2 linked regions of the Astyanax mexicanus genome follow. The protein of the gene in region 1 purifies or fractionates together with the protein of each later gene. This does not show direct contact. Links are inferred from orthologs where the notes say so. Each region holds a gene or a part of one and is shown on either strand. Other genes may lie near its edges.

Region 1 (7,799 bases):
ACTTTCTATTCGTATGATTGTATTGTGCCCAAACCTGTTACTGGCCACACGTGAATGTAAACGAGCATTATTTTAAAAAGGTGCAAATAATTGTGTCTGGCCCTATTTTGTAATTCTTTGTGAAATAATACATTTTGGCTTTTTCTGTTTTTAATACACACAAAGAAGATTTTTTTGGAAAAAATATCTTTTTTCTGGAAACACGTTGGGGGGCCAAAACGGCCATGACTGTGTAAATCAATCCAGTCCAGCTTCTAGTGCTCTTAAAGACTATGCACACCATAAGTCGAGGGGTAAAGACACTGGACAGATGCAAGCATCTGTATTCTTGCAAAAATAATAGACGCTATACTGCCCTCAAGTGGACAGCACAAGCTAAAAAAATATCACAAACGATATGCAAGCATGTGTTAGTGTTTTATTTACACACATATACATCAGAAAATAAATCTGAATATGCTTCTCAAACAGTGAAAATAAGACTTAAAAATATAGTATGTTCACAAACGAACACAAACTGTTTCAGACAATACAACAACATGCATAGGCACCTTAAATAATATTTTGTACTTGTGGACAGCACATTAATACAAAATGTTCTATTTTCTTCAAGTTTTATCAAAATATCAAACACCTACACATATGAATGACCTCATGAGCAGTTTCACAGACATACATCAAAGCACTGATCTAATGTTCTCCTCCAGTGCCATAAGAAGACAAGTGGGTAGAATATAATATTGGGTCAGCTACTTCCATACCAGGCTCTCTCATATCAGGGCTAATCGATTTACTGATTCCAATTTAGATGTGTGAACAACTCCTAGGTTCTTTCACTTGGCAAAATAACCCAAAAAATATATAGGGACACAAACTGATTTGCATTTTAGAAATATTAATCTTTCGCACCCTTAAACATATCTCAAAACTTTTTTGGCCAAATAAAGTGCTGACAGAATTTGTTTTTACTGATCTTCACATTATGTAAAGGCTCTCAAAAAATATTTTTAATACTGTCCTTAAACTGCACATCCAAGCCATGTATTATTTAAGAATTTAATCCCAAATGATTCAATTGAAAAGTCTTAACATTCAGTAGCTATTAATGAAATTAAAGGTCAGATTATCCCTCTATGGTGATGGATTTCCTTCTTTCCCTTTTTAATAATATTTGATTTTGTGTAGCTGACTGTAACTTTCTAAGCATTGGGGTAAAACACTTTAATGTGGATAGCCGAGTTGTTCCTTGTTCGTGTTAGTGGCTCTCCAGCTTCATCTGGGTCTTCTGGCTCCAGATCGTCTACTAGCTCTACCGTGGAGGTGTTCGCAGCCAGCTGCAGTGCCCCCTGGCTGAAAGCCTGCAGCTGCAGTGCGATGTTAATGGCCCGGTTAATGGCGAGTCCCAGACCGTGGATGCAGATTTCCTTGTGACCAGCACCGCCATCCAGCAGTTTCTGACACCTGGCCAGCTGGGCCTTGAAGTCGGTCTTCATGTTAATGTATACATCGTTGCGTCTCTTGGGCAGCTTTCTGGGCAGCCGTTTGCGGAGGGTGTATTCCACTGGGTCCATCTCAACAGTGTTGCCCTCAGGTGTTGAAAAACCTAGTGGGTTCTGAGACACCGAACCTGGGACTTGACTTCGTGGATCTGCCATCTCGGGGCTTCTGAAGAGGATCAGCAGAGATTAAATCTGACAATGGAAACATAGAGCAATTTAACGATTAACAATGTCTTTTTAAAAAGTATTGTTTACTCCTAATCCACACATGTACTGACAATTAAACATTTAATATCAAAGAAGATGTATATTAAATTTACCATTAGATAAACAATAAATATTTAGATGGAGTGGGCCTGGGTGGGGTGGGATATTCTGGGAGCTTTTGCAATTATGTTCTTGTTGATATGAAAACAAAAAAATCCCTAATTGAAGTGAACAATACAACATGTAATGATACTAACAATGCTCTCAATATATCCAGTGTTGGAGTAAAATAATATGATGCCAGGATTCATTGGGCAGGAATTGTGAAAGGGTGGTTCAGGGAGCATGAGATCATCATATTCACACATGGATTGTTCACCACAGTGTCCAGACCTTAACTCCATTGAGAATCTTTGGGATGTGCTGAAGAAGGCTTTGGGTACTGGATTAAAATAAATCTTGTGACATTACAGAAGCTTATCGAAACAATGCCACAGTGAACACAGGGACAATTCTACTAGAGAAGGTTGGGATAAAAATAAGTGATGGATGGCAAAACATCCTGTGACATACAACATGATCAATCAGCCTTTCCTTATATATATATATATATATATACATAGAGAGAGAGAGAGAGAGAGAGAGAGAGAGAGAGAGAGAGAGATAGACAGATAGACAGACAGCAAAAATCTATAAAAAAAAACATCCTCTGTCACAGAAACATGATCAATCAGCCTTTCCACCACAACCTAATCTAACCAGAATCACCATCTTAAGCAGCAGTCTTTGCAGCAGTGTTAGCTAGCTGTTAGTTGTGAGGCTATCTCGTGTATGATATTAAATAGGGTGTATTTCAGTGTTTGCTGAAGGACTGAAGGACTAGCTAGTCTGTCACTCACTGACCACCCACCCGTACACTGGAAAGCATGGCGAGGAGTCTAAACACGTGGAATATAGACTACACTCCAGTTCTCGCTCTTTACATTGAATCAACCTGCAACATCGTACACCTAATTGCAGATTCTGATTCAAATAAACATTCAAAAACAATGTAATAAACAGGTACCTGCTCTGCTCTGGGGGCTCGTCACACCGCCTCACTGTAGAAGATGCCGGATGTGTTACCAGCTTTTTACCGGAAGTGATGTCTGTCTCTCGTGTGTTTAGGGACGTCTGTATTTAAAATAGTAAAATAGTGACTGCAAAACAACCAGTGAGTCACAGACATACAGCTGTAAATGTAAAATGTTACCCGGTGGAGCAAATCGCCATTCAAACAGCCGTCTCTGTTTGAGTACCTGCGCCTACGACGCGCTCTGTACAGATGTATAAGCAGTGTGATGGGGATTCAGCGGCAATGCGCCTAATTACCGCGTGGCGCACATGTCTTATAGATCAGCGGTCGCTCGCTCCCCTAGAGCAGAGCACCTGATTATATTCTAATACATGTAATATATGTAATACAGTGCTCTCACATACCCATACTGACACTACTGCTTATACTTGCACTGTCATACTCACTTTAATTATCCCTACAACTGTGCAATTGAAAGAATGTGCATTATGCACTTGTTCACTATACCAGCTAAAATCTGGTCAATTCTGACCGCACTCTTATCAACACAATACTGGAACATAGTACTTGAATCAAAACAGTAGTGGAAGTCTTTTTCAGGAACTGATATGCACTCACACACCCCAAACCTGCACTACTGCCTATACTTGCACTGATCAATCATAGCCACTTAATTCCCCCTACGACTGTGACCCCCCACCCCTTTCAAACCAACTGGTACACTGTCATTTTATATTGCACTATTGTGTGTCTCTTGTCTAACGTGTGTCTATACAACTCTGGAAAAATTAAGAGACCACTTCAGTTTCTAAATCAATTTATCTGATTTTGCTATTTATAGGTAGATGTTTGAGTAAAATTAACATTTTTGTTTTATTCTGTAAACTACAGACAACATTTCTTCCAAATTCCAAAAAAAAAAAAATAAATCATACTGCAGAAAATGAGAAGAAGATGCAGAGCTTTCAGATCTCAAATAATGCAAAGAAAACAAGTTCATATTCATAAGGTTTTAAGAATTCAGAAATCTTTGGTGGAGTAACCCTGTTTTTTTAATCACAGTTTTAATGCACATTGGCATGTTCCCCTCCAGACTGCCTCTGAATAACTTTATGCCACTCCTGGTGCAAAATTCAAGCTGTTCAGCTTGGTTTGATGGCTTGTGATCGTCCATTTCCTCTTGATTATATTCCAGAGTTTTTCAATTTGGTAAAGGCAAAAAAAACCCATAATTTTTAAGTTGTATATGTGACCTTGCTGTATTGTACAATTAGTGTCATTCTTTTATTATTTATAATATTATATTTCTGTACTTTTGTCTACTCTTACTTAAACTTGAACTCTTGTCTCACGTATGTCTATATATCTGGCCTTGTTGTATTGTACTAGTATTAGTATTAGTGTCTCATTCTTTTATATTTATAATTTTATTCTGCTGTACCTGTTGTAACTTTGGGAAGGATGGTAACGTAATTTTAATCCTCTGTATGTCCTGTCCATATGCAGTAGGGGTGGGAATCGTTTACTATCTCACGATTCGATTCGATTCCGATTTTGGGGGCCACGATTCGATTCAAAATCGATTTTTGATTCAAAACGATTTGAATTATAAAAATTTCTGCTTCTGGCTTATGAATCTTATTGAAAAAAAACCCTCCATAATATACACTGGTCCTGGAGCAGGTAATGTGTTACAAAAACAATAAAATGTGCAGGAATGTGGGTCCTCAGTGACAGAGGAATCACTGGGATATCACAATGACGTTAATGAACAATAAATAAATAATAAATAACACTGCTTTATTACCAGGCTACTAGCGGTGGTGTGTAGGTGACGCTGCTGGGCTGATGTGATGATAGCAGTGGAGCGCTAAAGTTCAGGAGCAGCTGCTGATTAACTAGTTAATTTAAGGTCGTTGTATTTCTTCAGAAAGGGGGCAGGAGGTGGAGAAATTAATTCATATGGTCCATTCCTTAATTCCTCTGTGATGAGGAGCTGAAATTAGCTCTGATTAGCTTATTGTATTTTTCCGTTCCGCCTTAAATGCTGCAGCCCGCTGCCACCTGTAGCGTTATTTAAGGTGGAACTGGAAAGTTAGCTAGTTAGCTAGCTAACAGTTACTGAAACTAACTACTAGCGATCTTTTTTATGCTTGTTATGAAGCATTCTGCCATAAAACATTGAAACTACACGTTAATCTAATGTAATATAGTGCTTGTTCTGCCATCTTACCGGTGATTCTCAAACACCTACGCTCTGTGTGTGTCTGGAAGATCTCCGTTTGAAAGGACAAGCGCTATCCCCAGGGTTGCCAGGTCCAACAAAAATACCCAGCCCAAAATCAGTCTAAAACCCGCCCCTCAGAATCGATTTTGGGACATTTTAAATCGATTCTGAATCGTAGTAAATGAGAATCAAGATTCTTATGTGAATCGATTTTTTGGCACACCTCTAATATGCAGTATTGACAATAAAAATTAACTTTCCTTGATAATGAATATGTGACCACGTGTAGTTGCCTGCACACGCCGCCAGGGGCGCTGCAACCCCCCTCAGACAGGTTTCATATGTTACTCCAGTCAGTCGCCACGGAGTCACGTGGTCTCCGCCGAGCAGAACGGCCATCTTCCTAAAACACAAACAACAAGAGTAGCGAGCAGACGAGCTAGCAGCAGCGCAGCGTCGGAGAGAGAGAGAGCAGGACACATTTTATGTACATATTACACGCGGTTTGATGCGGATTATAACGCGATTATTGAGGACAAGCACGTCGGCAGCCAGAGACCACACGGTCACATGCGCAGGAGCCCAGACGACTGGAAATAATACGCATCTCTAGCTCCAGAAATTAAGGTGAGAGAGAGCCCCTCCTCTCCTTGAATGTTTTTGGGTTGGCTGGTATGAGAGAGCTAGGTTAGCTAGCTAAGCTAAATTAGCTAGGTTAGCTAGCTAGATCTGTTACAGATTTGGTGGAGCACTCTGGGGTCTTCCTGTCATCCGTGCAGTGGGCTAACATTGGCATGAAGAAGGCGGTAAGCTAAATAGCAAAGCCCTGTCTAAGGCTAAGGGGGTGTGGATAATGGAGACGGCGTTGGTGCTTTTCAAGCTGGCTAGGTAAAGGGGGTGGGGGTTGTGTTTGTAGCTGACTGAGCTTTGGCCATGGTTGAAGGCCACGGTGAGCAGAGGAGTTCAGTAGGACGGGTGGTCTGTGAAACAACAAGGGGAAAGGTGGGGAAATGAGGAGTGTGTACCACTGTGGAGGGTGTGTACACTAACTGTGTAGTTAGATTTAATTTAAGGTTTGAATGTGTTGTCCAATAACAAACCTAACTAGCTAGCTAACTAGTTAGCTTAGCTTGGTTTGCTAACTACCTAACCTAAATACTGTATCCAAGCAGCGCTACAGACAAGCATAGCTTATTGCCCCAGAGTAACCATCCTTGGTTAGCTAGCTAACTTGTTTTAAAATGTACATTTTTGATGTTGAAAAGTTACATTTGTGGAGAATACATGGTCTTGCTGCTCTAAATACAGGAACTCCCATACACATGCGAATACACCGCCCCCTTCTCTCAGTCTCTCTCTCTCTCGTTTGCATCTGCTTGCTCAGTTTGTTTTTCGTTCCACCTTAAATTCTTCAGCAGCCAACCTACCTAGCTGTTAGTGTATTACAAAATATAACTAACAACTGCACAATTTAAGGTGGAACGAGTAGTTATAAGACCAATCTATTTAAAACTAAACGTCATCTTCTTCTCCGTATACAGATGTTTGTGTGGAAGCTGTTAGTTTCTTTATATTAATTATTAACCTAAATATGACGAGCCTAAGTAGCTAATTAGGTAACTGAGTTAACTTGTTTTGAATGTATATATTTTATGGTCTGTCCACTCTCTGAATGATTTACTTTTTTTGTTTTAAAAAAAGAAATGTGGTCTAAATACAGAAATACGCTCACATGCGAATACACCTCTCTCTCTCTCTCTCTCTCTCTCTCTCTCTCTCTCTCTCTCTCTCTCGTGTGCTTCTTTTGCTCAGTTCCTTATTCCAACTTTCTTTTCCACCTTAAATTCTGCAGCAGCTAGATACGTTACAGTCTGTCCAGGCTTTGAACTGCCGATCCATTTAAGGTGGAAATACTAATTAATCAGTCAAATCCAATTTACTTTAATCCAATCTACTTTATCTTACTCTCCGTATACAAAAGTTTGTATTGGAGCTGTTTTACCTAATCTTAGCCAAAGCTCTGTCGATATGCACAGCCATTTCTTTTTTTCTTATATGAATGTGTAACCTTAATATAACGAGAAAGGCAGCTGTCCTAGCTGAGTAACTATGTAGTTAACTTACTTGTTTTAAATGTATTAAAAGTTTTATGTTGAAAAAAAAAATGTGGTCTCTTTCTATCACCTTCTCTAACTCTCTTTCGTGTGCTTCTACTTCCTATTTTTTTTTTCCAACTTTCCGTTCCACCTTAAATTCTGCAGCAGCTGGCAACGTTACAGTGTCTGTCCATGTATGTAGCTAATTGCCGCACCATTTAAGGTGGAAAGACTAATTTATAAATCAAATCCAATTTAAACTCTATTCTTTTCTTCCTGTCCGTATACAGAGGTTTGTATTGGGATTGTTAGCCTGTCTTAGCCGAAGCTCTGTCAGTATGCACATCCATTTCTTTTTTCAGAATTAATCCTTATATTAATTCTTAAATATGAAGGGAAACACTGTCTCCCAACTGCATTGTACCATTGTAGTGGATTACGCGAAGCCAAATGTAGCAGCGGCATGGATAGATAAGCTGCCCCTGATAGGCCGCCATCGCACATTCACATCAACACGCTTTCACTGAATAAACGCTGCTGTTGGCCTCCTGCCTGCTGCACAGCCACATTTCACACTCCGGATGCTTAGTGCCAGCCTTTAAAGGTACCTGAGGGCGACTGGCCTTTAATTGAATGGCTGCAAACCTGGAATCCCCCCTACAAAAAGGCCTAAATAGTAAAAGTTAAAGAACATA
Region 2 (6,521 bases), on another chromosome or scaffold:
AGAACTGTTCACAGTGTTGTGGTGAACACAAGACATCTGAAGAGCTTGATATTTTTTACAAAGGAAATTGTGACAAAACATTGCTGAACCGGTTTTATAACAAGGTTTTAGCCCTAATTGCATTTTAAGAGACATACAGCATTGTTTATAGACAAAGCAATATCTAAAGAAAACTATTATATGTTTGTAAAGGCACAGGCATGGAGATGAGATTAAGTCCTAGACAATGCTTGCTTTTTTGTAATGCCAGTGCAAATATAATTCAAATACAAATAATAATGGGTACAATTCTAATTCTACATGTAACATTTGTTTGCTGAGACTTTACATTTTCACCATTTCATCTGCCCATCTGAAGTCGTAACCGTTGTGTAGAGAGGTTTTCTCAAAGGTGGGCTTCTTTTTCTCCTTCTTGGCTGCATTTCTTGGAATCTTTACATGTTCACCTTTTCACATCAACTCATCCTAAATGTCTTTACAATGATTTATGATTTGTCCAATGAATAAAAAAAAAAGCAATTGTGCAATTGTTTCTTTCAGACTGTCACTTCTGAGCTGATGCCTTCTTTTTCTTGGGTTTCCGGATTTTTGATGGGTTTGGGATGGTTTTCTTGACTTTGAGAGGCTGAAGTGTTGGGGTTGGGTCTTGTCCAGGCTCATGTGAAAGGTCAAGCTTCCTCTTTTGACCCCTTGGTGGATTTGAGGGGGGCTCCTCAGTCTGCGTTTCAGTCTTAACTGGATCTGAAGGATCTCCAGTAAGATCTCCAGTATCAGTAGGACCAGGATGGGGGTCTCCTCCCAGGCTCTGGTCCTCCAGCCTGGCTGGCTCCTTCTCAGTGGGCACCCAGGGCACACAGAGGGGAGGGACCTTGGAGGCTATCTCCCCTACTGTGTTGGAGAAGGCGGTGTCTCCTCGTTTGAAGCCCAGTGCCAGCACGCTGCTGAGACCCAGAGCCCCAGACAGACCCTCACTGAGGCCGGGCACCTGGCATGCCGGCACCGCCCTGGTTCTGCTGAGGGGGATGAGGTGGCTGATCATGTGGGCTGGCCTGATGGAGCTGCACACCAGCACCAGGCTGAGCTCATCCTTCTCCAGGCCTTTGGTCACCTCGTTGATGCCGATGGCCAGCTGCCTCCGGGAGGCCTCGTCGCTCCAGCCTGGCTGCCGAGCAGTTTTTTCGGCTTCGGGGGGCTTCGAGTCCCGCTGCTTGGATTTCCTCCTCCTGCTGCTGCGGAGCCCCTTCACTCGTACCTGGATCTTCTTAAGCCCCAGAGCTTCTATCGTCTCTGTGAGGCAGTTCAGAATAAATGCCTTCTGGCCCTTCTCCAGAGGAGCCCATCTGAGATCGTAAGGGTTGTTTAGAGAGGTTTTCACAGGGATGGGCTTCTTTTTCTCCTTCTTTGCTGCTTTTCCCGGAGTGCTCATCCTGCTCTCATAACTCCAGCGTGGCCACAGATACTAAAACAAACTAAATAACTTTATATATAAACCAGCTCCTGCTTTATAAAGGTCCTCCACAGCCTCGGTGCTCTGAACAGTGGTGTTCAGAGATGTTCCACCTCAGATCAGATCAGAAAGCTTTCACATGTGTGCACTGAGCTCAACATAACATCAGCTATCTATAGAACACGTGTGCTGCTACAGGGCGCCGCCATGCTGGTTCGGAGCGTTGAGTGTTAAAAAGCCACACCGCCCCCTAGTGTTCAGGGTCTATATAACACTACACTACCACATAATGGACACATTATTTATTAATATGTTATATTAAATATATTTTAAACGTATTTTATCAATTTAAATCGTATTTTAAATATATTTTAAGCATTTCAGTATTCAGTAACAGGCCAGCATTTTTATAAATTTTCTGCCTAATGTTACATACCTAAATCTTGAGGATTTCTATTCAAGCATTGCATAAAAAAGATTTCATGTTTGATAATAAACGTTTCTACAAATTCCAATTGTAAATGTATTAGAAATACATTACATTTCATTTGGCAGACGCTTTTGTCCAAAGCGACTTACAATAATGAAGTACAAAAGTAATAGGAATTTAGATAACCCATTTTTAGATAGGGCTTAAAGGAGGTCGAAGGGAAATAAATGGATAGAGAAGTGAAGGAGGGGAAGAAGGAAATGGGGTTAGAAGTAGTTAGTGTGTTAGAGGTGTTAGGAGAGTAAGTGCTCTTTCAGGAGTCTCTTAAAGATAGCGAGATTTTCTGGATCATTTTAAAATCATTATTTTCCTGAATGCAAATCAAACAGTTCATGTCCCCCAAACCTTTCGTTTTGTTACAGTTGTCTAGATTTTATGTTTACTTTCAAACCTGCAGAATTTGGGTTGATTCCTGTTACTAATCTGGAATTATTTAGTGGAGTAGACACTAAAAGCCCTCATAGTCTTTAAAATGTAAATAAGTTATTTTACTGCAGAGAAAAAGGATTTTGTATCACCTACACTTGTAGCCTGTATACATTCAAAGGCCAGTAAAGGGGTTAAGGAAAAATACATGTTTCCCTCTGACAATTCCCCAGATGTGGGAATAATAAAGTCACAGTGTCAAAGCTATAGAAACTAGATAGAAGTATCCATAAACAGTTAAAAAAATAGAAAAGCTTTCTTTAAAAAAAATGCATGGAAACCTATGAACTACAAAATGTATTTCAAACATTGCAGTATTGCAGTGTATTTAGGAAATATACAAGTTTGTTCATTTTCATCTACTTAAGATAATCCTTTATTAGTCCCACAGTATCTGTTGGAATGTAATACAAACAGTATAGCGGTATCCATAAACTACATCCAACAGAAAATAGAAGAATATATACACAAGCATTTTTTTTAAAGAGAAAACAAAGAGAAGGCATTTTTTATTCCAACATGTATTTCTAATATTACAGTATTGTATTGCAGAATATTAAGGAAAAAAAAATCATGCATTTTCAAATAAACATAAAATAATCCTTTGTTAGTCCCACATCTGTGAAATGTTTAGTCATAACAAATTAATTAAACATATTTCAAGCATTGCAGTATATTTTTGAAAATGTTTTATATGATAATGATAATTTTATATGATTACTGTCTATGTGTTGCACATTAAAGATGAGTTGTTAAATTTCACGTGATTAGACAGGATAAAATAAAGTAACAGTACAAAAAAGTATATACACGTTTTTACCAATACATAAATGACAAGAATTTGCTGTTTATATGTCATGTGATGTGTTTTTTTTTTTTTGGTATATCACTGTCAAATTAGTTAAAATTAGATTTTGGTTTATAGATGTGCTTTTACAACCCTATTTACAAGCTGAAGACATTGTCATGAAGCAGCTTTTACAGAGATCTCTGTTCAAGCCCCAAATGAGCAAACCACTGGCAACAGTATAATGGCGAAGAGAAAGCGTCCCCAGAGTGGAAAGAATAAACCTGCAGAGAAAGAAGGTCTCAGAGGACCTTATTCTTCTTTGATCAACAAAGATAACAACAGTAAAGTCAGGAAATAATATTTACTTGTATATACAGTAATTAACAACTAGTATAGACAGTAACTGATGTGTTTATTTTTTTATTTTTGATGATTATGGGTTACAGCTAATGAAAAGCCAAAAGACAGTATCTCAGTAGATGTATATATTATATAGGAGTAAGACCAATTGGTACTTTTGGCAGTTGGAAGGAGATGCCAAGTCTAAATCATTAAATGTATATATATATATATATATATATATATATATATATATATATATATATATATATATATATATATATATATATATACATATACAAATCTGTTGGAAAACCAGGCTCAGAATACTAGTATGCAGTTTAATCCCTGTTTTTTTTATATATATATTTGATTAAAACTATAAAATAAATATGTGTTACAAGCTTGTTAATTTGGATTATTAATTGATTGTTTAATGTTCATATCTGAAATTGTACTTCAGTCCATGTGTTCTCTGAGCTTAGACACAAACCAGCCTGGCCAACTTGCTCATACTGGCTTTCTGTTTTAGTCAGATGGTTTTGCTTGGCCTGCAGATCAACAGAAATATCAAGAGCTATGCTGCTCAACCAGCTGGTTTTTGGTTTGGGAGATTTCCATTGGGGCATTATTAGCCCCTTTTTAGGGGGGCTCAAGCATCCCTAAATTCAACAAGCACTCCTAAAATGTAACAAATATATATATTTAAACAGAATTAGATAAGCTGAAAAATCTTCCAAACTAAAAAAGTATATCATTAACAGAATTTCTAGAATAAAAATAAAGTAATCTCTCCTCAACACACAAATGGTACAATCCACTTTCTCTCTGTGCTGCTGGGGAGAATGAGGCTGGCTGCCATTTCATTGGTCAGTTTGTGTTTTTATTAAAACCAGTGTGCTAGACTAGTACTGTCTGTATGTGTAGTAGCTAATTAATAGTGCAGAATTGTAGAAGATGTGATGAGACAGGTGATGTTCCACTCCTGATACGTCCTGTGTGTGTGTGTGTGTGTGTGTGTGTGTGTGTGTGTGTGGATATTCAGTATCAGCCACAGATATTGAATTGTTTTTTCAAAGAAAAGAGCAGGGTCAGGTTAGAGAGTAAGGGGACTTCATTGCCCACTTTAAATTAGAGCACATAATGGAGAGTGCTACGGTGGCCGAGAAAGCCCAACGCAGTGCAAATTGAAAAGCCCTGCAAAAGCATAAAACACATCCATCAAAATTACAACACAGGCGCAGCAAATAGAAAAACGCGCTGCAAATAGAAAAACGCGCTGCAAATAGAAAAAGAATGTGCAAATACACAGTTATATATTAATCTATCTGTACAAATTTGTAGAGATGTAAACAGTGGACCATAAATAAACTATTAGTGCAGAATAAGGTAGAACAATAAAAAATAATGTAACAGGGCATCTCTAAAGGGTGTTTCTGTGGAGATGGGGGTGTGTCCATTGGAAAGACCCAATATGTGTCTCAGAGTTTTTAGTTTGCAGTGCTGAGAGGACAGTCTTGAACAGTGTTATCTCCTGAGGGACAGGTGTACCTATCTGATTTGGCACACACACCTATTATGTAACTTGTAATATGTTACTGCTCTTCATTCATAATTATCTATGATGCTACAAAGGCAAGGCAAGTTTATTTATATTGCACCTTTCTTACACAATGGTCATTCAAAGTGCTTTACAAATTACAATAAAAATGGAAATAAAAATAATAAAGCATAAATAAAAATATAAATAAATAATTAAAACTAAATATATAGTTTATATATATGTACTCTGGACATCACGTTGCTGCTGCTTTCCTACTCTCCTTTATATTTTGTGTATTTATCTTGATATCTATTTTATTTTATTTTATTTTAGTATTTTATTTTATTATATCTTATTTTATTTCATCTTTATATTGATTTTATTTTAACAATCGCTCTTTATCTGTGTATCTGGACCCTGAGAGTACAATTTCGGTTCACCTCATGTACCACATGTGATGTGAATGACAATAAAGTCTCCATGAATCCTTGAACTAAATGATATTATTTCTTCTGATATGAGAGACTCACGCCTCCTGGGAACTCTTCCCTATTTTGTATGTAGTTATTTTATAAGGGAGGGTGGTGTGGCTGGGTTTAATTCTCTGATGCTAGAAATTGCATACACTTCGCTTGTCAGTGGTTTTAATGTTGTGGCTGGGCTCGGTGTGCATGTGCTCCTCTGTCATCAGTAATGCTGTGTGCTGATTGGCTCATTCTGATTGGCTCTCTGCTCAGCCAATCAGCGTTCAGGCTGCCACACTGCGACTGTGCACGATGATACCGTAAACTGTAATTCATCAGCAGGTCTACGCTGAGTGCAGAAGACGCAGCAGGAATACACACACACACACACTCTCTCTCTCTCTCTCTCTCTCTCTCACACACACACACACACACACTCTCACTATCTCATACTCCAGCTCTCTCTCTCTCGCCTGGGAAAATGACTCTGCAGGTTGGTGGTTTATGTATTTTTTCCATGTTTTATTTATTGTGCCTGTATTGTACTGTGTGTGTGTGCATGTGTGTGTGTGTGGTACCTGTTAGCAGCTGGATGTGTGTGTAGCTAAGGCCCATTCTGCACTATAATATCATACAGCTATAATATTCACTATATATTTACCAGCATATAGTGTTAATCAGCTCCATGACGTCATTATCACCCCATTCAGTGTGCAGTGTCACTCCATATGAGTGCAGTAGTGAGGGGGTGAGCGAGCTGCACTTCTCTCCCTCCATAGCCTGATTATCTGCACACAAACACAATGGGCCTTCAGACTGGTTTGTACGCCTGTTTGTTGGTTGTTTAGCTGAACAATAGAAACTCATGTACAGTGGGGGGATAATGACCCTGCTGCACTGATTAAGACTGGGTTTAGTGTGACCAAATACAGGCCGAAAATGGGTCAGATAGACTCCGGCCAAGGGATTGTACTTCTTAACCCCTTAATGGTCCTGTGTAATTTAAAAATCTATAGGAATGA

Evidence for each region. Proteins that work in one complex are often made in the same cells at the same time.
Region 2: the proteins of pop7 (region 1) and rpp38 purify together in Homo sapiens (co-immunoprecipitation; 3 studies listed by BioGRID and IntAct, with this or other methods). This does not show direct contact. The link is inferred for Astyanax mexicanus from reciprocal best matches to the Homo sapiens genes POP7 and RPP38.

What each region holds. Positions count from the first base shown.
Region 1 is NC_064415.1:15,412,541-15,420,339, reverse strand, and holds pop7 (ribonuclease P protein subunit p20), read right to left. Parts: upstream 3,004-7,799; 5' UTR 2,773-3,003; intron 1,692-2,772; 5' UTR 1,656-1,691; coding exon 1,200-1,655; 3' UTR 399-1,199; downstream 1-398. UniProt on the Homo sapiens protein: Component of ribonuclease P, a ribonucleoprotein complex that generates mature tRNA molecules by cleaving their 5'-ends. Also a component of the MRP ribonuclease complex, which cleaves pre-rRNA sequences.
Region 2 is NC_064408.1:111,996,747-112,003,267, forward strand, and holds rpp38 (ribonuclease P protein subunit p38), read right to left. Parts: upstream 1,658-6,521; 5' UTR 1,427-1,657; coding exon 545-1,426; 3' UTR 503-544; downstream 1-502. Other genes in the region: acbd7 (acyl-CoA-binding domain-containing protein 7), read left to right, coding at 5,981-5,992. UniProt on the Homo sapiens protein: Component of ribonuclease P, a ribonucleoprotein complex that generates mature tRNA molecules by cleaving their 5'-ends. Also a component of the MRP ribonuclease complex, which cleaves pre-rRNA sequences.